Mytilus edulis: one gene and its partner. The protein of the gene in region 1 purifies or fractionates together with the protein of each later gene. This does not show direct contact. Links are inferred from orthologs where the notes say so. Each region holds a gene or a part of one and is shown on either strand. Other genes may lie near its edges. The genes, in order: glucose-6-phosphate 1-dehydrogenase-like; histidine--tRNA ligase, cytoplasmic-like.

The links.
Region 2: the proteins of glucose-6-phosphate 1-dehydrogenase-like (region 1) and histidine--tRNA ligase, cytoplasmic-like fractionate together in Homo sapiens (co-fractionation; 3 studies listed by BioGRID). This does not show direct contact. The link is inferred for Mytilus edulis from reciprocal best matches to the Homo sapiens genes G6PD and HARS1.

The regions. Positions count from the first base shown.
Region 1 is NC_092344.1:74,282,379-74,286,316, forward strand, and holds the start of glucose-6-phosphate 1-dehydrogenase-like, read right to left. Parts: upstream 2,510-3,938; 5' UTR 2,418-2,509; coding exon 2,196-2,417; intron 1-2,195. UniProt on the Homo sapiens protein: Catalyzes the rate-limiting step of the oxidative pentose-phosphate pathway, which represents a route for the dissimilation of carbohydrates besides glycolysis.
Region 2 is NC_092351.1:44,718,542-44,722,479, forward strand, and holds the start of histidine--tRNA ligase, cytoplasmic-like, read left to right. Parts: upstream 1-1,062; 5' UTR 1,063-1,118; coding exon 1,119-1,217; intron 1,218-3,938. UniProt on the Homo sapiens protein: Catalyzes the ATP-dependent ligation of histidine to the 3'-end of its cognate tRNA, via the formation of an aminoacyl-adenylate intermediate (His-AMP). Plays a role in axon guidance.

The DNA of each region.
Region 1 (3,938 bases):
TGTCTGAAACACAATTTCAAAGGTATCAATAAGCTACTGAGTATAAAATTACTATAAACAATGATAATCAAGCATTCTGTGAGTGTTGCACAGTAATATATATACATGTAGTCCTCTGCCAGTTAAAAATTCCTTGTACTAGAACCAAATTCTAACTTGATCTATAACTTGTCATTGTGTAAACATTATAACAAATATGAAGTCAATTTCTTCAAGCATGACGAAAAACATTGTATTGAAAACTGATTATATAAGTGAATTTTCTAAGTCCAAGGGACTTAACTCTGCACAAAATCATCAGACCAGAACATATTTCAAACTTGAACTGTATACCTTTTATCAAAATCAATATCTTACAGCATGAAGAAAATAAATGGGGAATGTGTCAATGGGACAAAGATGATGCCCTGCTTGCAGTTGCATATTATATAACATGTATAAAGTTATAAACGAGCATAACTCTAAATGTTAAAGTCACATCACCAAAATTTATACTTGATCTGAGTTTGTGGTAATAAGCATTGTGTATCAGTTTCACAACATTTAGTTGCGGCAAACTAAAGTTAGAAACTAAAAATTCATCCACTTTTTCCATTTGTAAAGGGGCATATCTCTAGAACGATTAAAGTCACACCACTAATATTCAAACTTGATCTGTATCATGTGTATTGTGGTAATGAACATTGTGTATAAGTTTCAAAACATTTGGTTTATGCAAACTTAAGTAAGAGAACTAAATGTTGAATTTTTCCATTTATAAAGGGGCATAACTCTAGAACTATTGAAGCCACACCAGCAAAATTTAATCTTGATCTGTATTGTGTGGTAATAAACATTGTGTATACGTTTCATAACATTTCAAACATGAACTGTAACTTGTTTTAATGTCACTATATACCCATTATCAAATCAAGATCTTCAAGAATGACGAAAAAAAGTGCAGAAAACAGATTGTTTGAGTGAATTAAGTTCAAGAGCCATCACTGCACAAAATCATCAGACCGGAACAAAATTTAAAATCTTCAAGCATGAACTTAAAAAGTGTGGACAGACAGACAGACTGCAAACCTAAAGTCCCCTTCGACTTTGTCAGTAGAAGACTAATAAGCAAACTACAGCGTTCTTTTAACTCAGTATGGTCCACCCTTTTATTGGCCTCAGGTAAGATAAGTTGTATAAGTAACTGTGTTACTCTCATTGTACATGTAATCAATAAACAATGATAAAGTAGTTATTTCAGAAGTAAAACTTACTTCCTGGTCTGCCCTTTTCGGCTGTGAAATTCAACGGAAAGAAATGTAATGTTGAAAGATTTGAAAAGTCTAAGGATTTGTATAATACTTTTTTTACTAATCATGCTGATAGAGACCCTTCAAATGTCTAAGTACAAATGTATATGAAACAGATAATGATGTACATATCACTGGATCAGCTAGACTCTTAAAATTCATCTTGCTTTAAGCATGTTAAGGTTACAACCTTAAAAATGATGTGAAAGATGCGTTCAAAAATGTATATCCCCTGCTAGCTACTATATGGTAGTATGCCTACATTAGGCTAGCATGGGGATGTGTCACAAATTTCAAAATCTATTAAAATTTTCCACCTTAATCCTGTTAATTTCAATCATTTCTATCATAATTAAGGATAACTAGGGTTTGCAAGTGTCTTCTTTTATAACCAGTGTCAAAAAATTATTTTTTATGTACAATGTATCTTGTTACTTCAATTACTTATAACATTAAAACATAACATTAAAAATGTTTACCATTTCATTTTTTATACATGTAATTATTCAGAAATTATTTAACAGACTATTGAATTATCATCAAACTTTAGATTGACTCATTGGAATGAATTTGCAAGTTGAATAAACTAGTAGTGTCAAAATATAGGACAAGAAATAAAACAACACTTTATAATACATAGAAATCTATGTGTACATGTATATGTGCATTAGCGTAAACAACAAGATAAACAATTTGCACAATGACTGTCAAACAGGAATATTCTTATGTGTCTTCGTTTGATCTAATCTCTTACTTGCATAGCGCATGTGGGAGATAAAATTCAAATATCTTGTACAACTAAAAGAAATGAGAAAGAAGAAATGCAGTACAACTGAAAGCATTTAACAATGACATTTCAGATCAATGTCATCGTTTTTAGGGACTAACAACACAAAGTGTACTTACCGATGCACCTAAAACAACAAAAACATGAGATGCTGCTCCACCCTCATAGGCTAATTCATCCCTCAGGATGGAAAGCATATCAACTTTCCCTTGCACTGCCATTTTTCCAAAATACTCGTCTGCTACAGGAAGTAAAATGTCGACTTCCGTTTCCCTAAAAGTGGGCGTGTCACATTTAAGACCCCTCTGTTTTTCTAATTCTTTTTTGTATTGCCTGTACATTAATTTCTGTGTCTGAAAGCTGTTGGTATCAATGGTCAATACTTTCTCATATCAAGGGTTTAATCCATGATCCGATTACTGACTAATGTCCCTAATATTAAATGATACAAAAAATTAACCGATTGTGTGACCTTTATTTTAAAAACACTTCAACTTCATGTCATTATCTAGAACTTGATGTTCTCACGGAGAATAGTTTCATATTGATTTTATATATATATATATATCTATTTACTGTTTCAAACTGTATATCGATCCTTAGTTACACTTGCAGTAGGTAAAAGAAGTCAGAAATGTATATCGTGGCGTTCCTTGTTTAATTATTTTTTGCAAGAATCAGATGATATTTCAGTTAATAATAATTTCATTAATTGTCATTAAACATTTACAATGTTTGTGGCAATACAAGAACAAACAAACAATAAAAGAAAAAAAAAAAAATAATATACGAAAGTTAATCTAACATGTCTAATAGACCCCAAAACATAAGTGATAAATTTTCGATATTACAATATTCGATATCCATGTTACAATAAGACCTCTGCCCTCAGTTCTTATGACCTTTTAATAAAAAAAAACAACAACAAAAAAACCCCAATAATTCTAACATGTCTAAAGGAAATGGATAAAATAATTTTTGATCATCAGGATAATGAATAAAATGTTCATCACCTAATTGTATATCATTATATAAATTTTGTCTCATATTTTCGTTTACCTTGCAATAGAAAATAAAATGAAGTTAATCGGCTTCAGGGTTTACTGATATAACTGCATGGAAATGTGGTTTTTAAAATTGGTTTCCTTATCCAAATCTCTAAAAATAAATATTCCAAATCATGCAAGGTGGCATATGATGATCCTGGTATGCGAGTGGCTTATTTTAGAGTGGCTACTTTGTGGTTTGACCTATCAAAATATTACATGTTAAAAGACTTTCTCATACCACATGTTATGGTAAATTTAACAAAAACTTGGACTAAGGCATTTAAAAGAAACTTATAGGCAGTATGGTTACCTATACGTGCTTACATCCACTTTATATTGCTTTGAACTCTGGTGCATATATATATATAGCTCTCTTATTGGCAACAATTCCACATCTCCGTACTCATGGTATTTTTATATTGTACCGTTGAATTCTCCAATCTTTCTGCAAACACGTATCCAAGGAGACTATGAATACATCATATATAAACAGCAATACTTGCTGCTTTCCTGATTTGGGTACTGTTTCACAAGGAAACTTTCATGATACTTTACTGATAGGTGTTTTCAAATTGATCTCGTTTTATGTCCAACTACAGTCGTATTCGATCTTGGAAAGATACATCTGATCAAGACCAATACAACTGTAAGATAACATAATATATACGTGAAGGTTCAACATGGAAACATCCTTTTCAGGATACCTTTATTAAACGGTCACTTAAATTGCCCTCTAAAGCTGACCAATAACGAATATGACTGAATGAAGAATAATACAGTTTCAATATGAAATCATTTATTTCATGACACCTG
Region 2 (3,938 bases), on another chromosome or scaffold:
CAAACAAATTTTTAGTGGATTAATTAGAGCATGGGTTTGTTCACAAAGCGAAAGAAGCACGTCATATTAAAATCATGGTTTTCAAATGCTGAGAGTACTTAAACCTGGTTCGTAATTACTTTTTATCTCTCGTGACCAGAAGGGCGAAGTGAGCTTTTCTCCTGAATTGGTGTCCGTCGTCTTTCGTCGTCCGTAGTTTCTAATTTCTAGAAATCTAATTTCACTCATATTCGATATCATTATTTCATAATTTGTATATTATACTTATATATACTTTTACAAAGAGTTATTCTTACTTTTTAATGTGTTGTTGAATAGTTGAATTTACAGTTTCCACGTTCCAACTTCTGTATTCTTTAGTTTAATTCTTAATAATACACTTATTTTAGTTAAAGACGTTTTATTAATATTTCAATAAACGAACTTTTCAATTTACCATTAATATTGTTTATATTTATTGTTTTGTCATATCACCGGGAATGATTTATTAATTGCTTTTGTTGAATTATAAATAGGTAAATAGGTAAATTCTACTTTTATTTGGCCTTTTTAACTTTTTTGGATTCGAGCGTCACTGATGAGTCTTTTGTAGACGAAACGCGCGTCTGGCGTATATACCGGGCTGAATTTAGTCCTGGTATCTATGATGAGTTTATTTACAACCACTGGGTCGATGCCACTGCTGGTGGAGATTTATTTTCCCGAGGGTGTGACAAGCCCGGTAGTCAGCACTTTTTTTGTTGACATGAATTTTCATTGATATGGTTATATTTATAAATTTACTGTTTACAAATTTTTGAATTTTTTGAAATACTCAGGCATAGATTACCTTAGCTGTATTTGGCAAAACTTTAGGAATTTTGGTTCTCAATGCTCTTCAACTTCGTACTTTATTTGGCCTTTTTTTAACTTTTTTGGATTCGAGCGTCACTGATGAGTCTTTTGTAGACAAAACGCGCGTCTGGCGTATAATATACTAAATTTAGTCCTGGTATCTATGATGAGTTTATGAGTTCTTTACTGGTTGTTATTTGTGTGTTTGGTCGTTGTATATACCATTTCATATCCACTTCCGGTAATCGATTTTCTTCTTTATACATCATAGTTGCATCAGCGGCATGGACGGTGACACTTCCCGAGAAAAGTTGCAAGAACAGATTCGTTTACAAGGAGAAAGAGTTAGACAGTTAAAGATTGATAAAGCTGAAGCACAGCAGGTTAACTACCATTAATTTGGAATAATTGATACAATAATATGAGGCAGGCATTACCTGTAAATGGGGACGAAGTCTGTATGAATTATTTTTTTGTAACTTAATTATTTGTCAAAAAAAAAAAGAAACGGTAATACCGTAACGTTTCCGAGTTTGGTTCTGTTGTTAGGGATTTTAGTTGTGACGTTATTTAAATTATGACGTCATATGCAATGTAAACAAAGAAACGCTATCATTAGGTAACGTTTTTTCATATCAAGGAATTATTAAAAATGAAATTGATATTGCGCGTTTCTTCCTATTTTATACTAGACTGATAAATATATATTTTACTCAAAGTTTCATACAAACGAGACCGGAAAAAGGAAGTATATTGTACATTTCGGCGCAGGTCCGGGATTTCAAAACATGACATAAAAAAAAATAAACGAATTTGAGTTCATTAGTACAATGAAAAATTCGGGAAATTTTCCCGAATTTTTTTTTTTATTGAATTTTCTACTGTTATTGGGGACTTCGTCCCCATATAAATCTGTAACCAAAATATGGTACAGAACTGACATGTCAGAGTTCCAACTTTTTTTATATCCTTGATTTGAATAAAATCAACCAAAATGTCTGAACAGTTTTGCAGTTAAAATCAGAACTTGTCACACTTTGAACGGGAGCGTAGCTATAATCCGACACCCCTAAAATCCAACAGTCCAGTAGTTTGACAGTTCGATAGTCTGACGGTCCGATAATCCGACAGTCCGTTAATCAACAGTGTGTTTGACACAAGCTGTCAAGTGAAGCCATGCACTGAAAGTGAAATGGGTCAGTTAATTTGAGTTTACACAGCTATAGTAGAACTTCTTGTCCAAGGAAAAATACGAATTTACAGGTACTGCAATCGCTTTAATATCATGATGATATCAGTCTGAAGGCTTTGAATCCAGGTGAAAACCGGTCATTTTCAAAATTCCCGGGTTATCTATTTTTCTCAGGTTACACCCGCAGGATACGGGTCAGTTTTACAGGTATGACGACGTCATGCTGATCGATTTGACACATGTTTTTTTGTGTAAAAAAAAAATAATTTACAATCGTTCCATGTCTTTATTCACAGACAAGTGACTGTATGTTGGACTATCGGGCTGTCGGATTATAGGACTGTCGGACTATCGGGCTGTCGGATTATAGGACTGTCTGACTATCGGTCTGTCGGATTATAGGACTGTCGGACTACAGTACTGTCGGATTATAGGACTGTCTGATTATAGGTCTGACCCCCCTTTGAACAGTTGTATTTACCAAAAGATCTAAATGGTAAAGAGTACTGCACAAATCTGACAAATTAAATCGAGAATGGAAATGGGGAATGTGTCAAAGAGACAACAACCCGACCTTAAAACAGACAACAACAGAAGGTCACCAATAGGTCTTCAATGCTGCGAGAAATTCCCGCACCCAGAGTCGTCCTTCAGCTGGCCCTTAAACAAATATATATTACTAGGTTAGTGATAATGAACGCCATACTAAACTCCAAATTGTACACAAGAAGCTAAAAATAATACAAGACTAACAAAGGCCAGAGGCTCCTGACTTGGGACAGGTGCGAAAATGCGGCGGGGTTGAACATGTTTATGAGATCTCAACCCTCCCCCTAAACCTCTAGTCAATGTAGAAAAGTAAACGCACAACGATACGCACATTAAAATTCAGTTCAAGAGAAGTCCAAGTCTGATGTCAGAAGATGTAACCAAAGAAAATAAACAAAATGACAATAATACATAAATAACAACAGACTACTAGCATTTAACTGACATGCCAGCTCCAGACTTCAAATAAACTGATTGAAAGATAAATGTCTTCATCCATTCAGAGTTTCTACTGCTAGCTGTCACATGTCAAGTATTTCAATAATAAAACTGTTGACTAGAAACCACAGACTGATTTCTTCAGACAATTAAAGTGTAGATCCAGCCATTATTCAAAAGGGAATTCTAATCATGTCCCCATTCTAGTGCACTGATCGTCACATTGCATTTATATTTCCTGCTATTTTAAAATAAACATACTTGTAACCCATTTTTATGTTTCTAAGAGGAATTGAAGTCCTAGTCTTATCATATGGTACTAGAACTAACTTTTGGTTACCCATTTTATGTTTGAAGAATATTGCCCAAGTGAGCATGGTGAGAAACTGAGAGTTCCTGTTCAAATTTAAAGAAAAAAAAACCTCATGAAAAACTGAACGTTTGAGTAAACATGGTAAATTTAATATTACACAAGTCTTTGAGAACCCTGATCACACCCTTATGAAGTCATATGTGAGACCAAATATATATAAAAAGATTACACTGTATAATTTTCAGTGCTTTATTTGAAAGGGACACATGCATGACATGTACAATAATGAACAGGTGCTTGTGTAATTTAGAAAATATTGAAATATGTGACATGTCTTACACAATCATGTAGACACATATGTGTCCCTCTAGCAGATAGAGACCACAGACATGACAGAGGCAGAATACAATGTTAGAATAGAATGAAACAGGTGAAAAAAGGTGTAAATTAAGATGTCATTTATTACAAAAGGATCATTTCATATAAATAAAAAGGGGATTTAAATACAATTTCAAACAAATCAGTTTAATCTGCATTTAACAATAAACATGATAATCATGATAAATTGTATCACCAAAACTTAAATTTCCCATAATTCTGTGTTTCTGAATT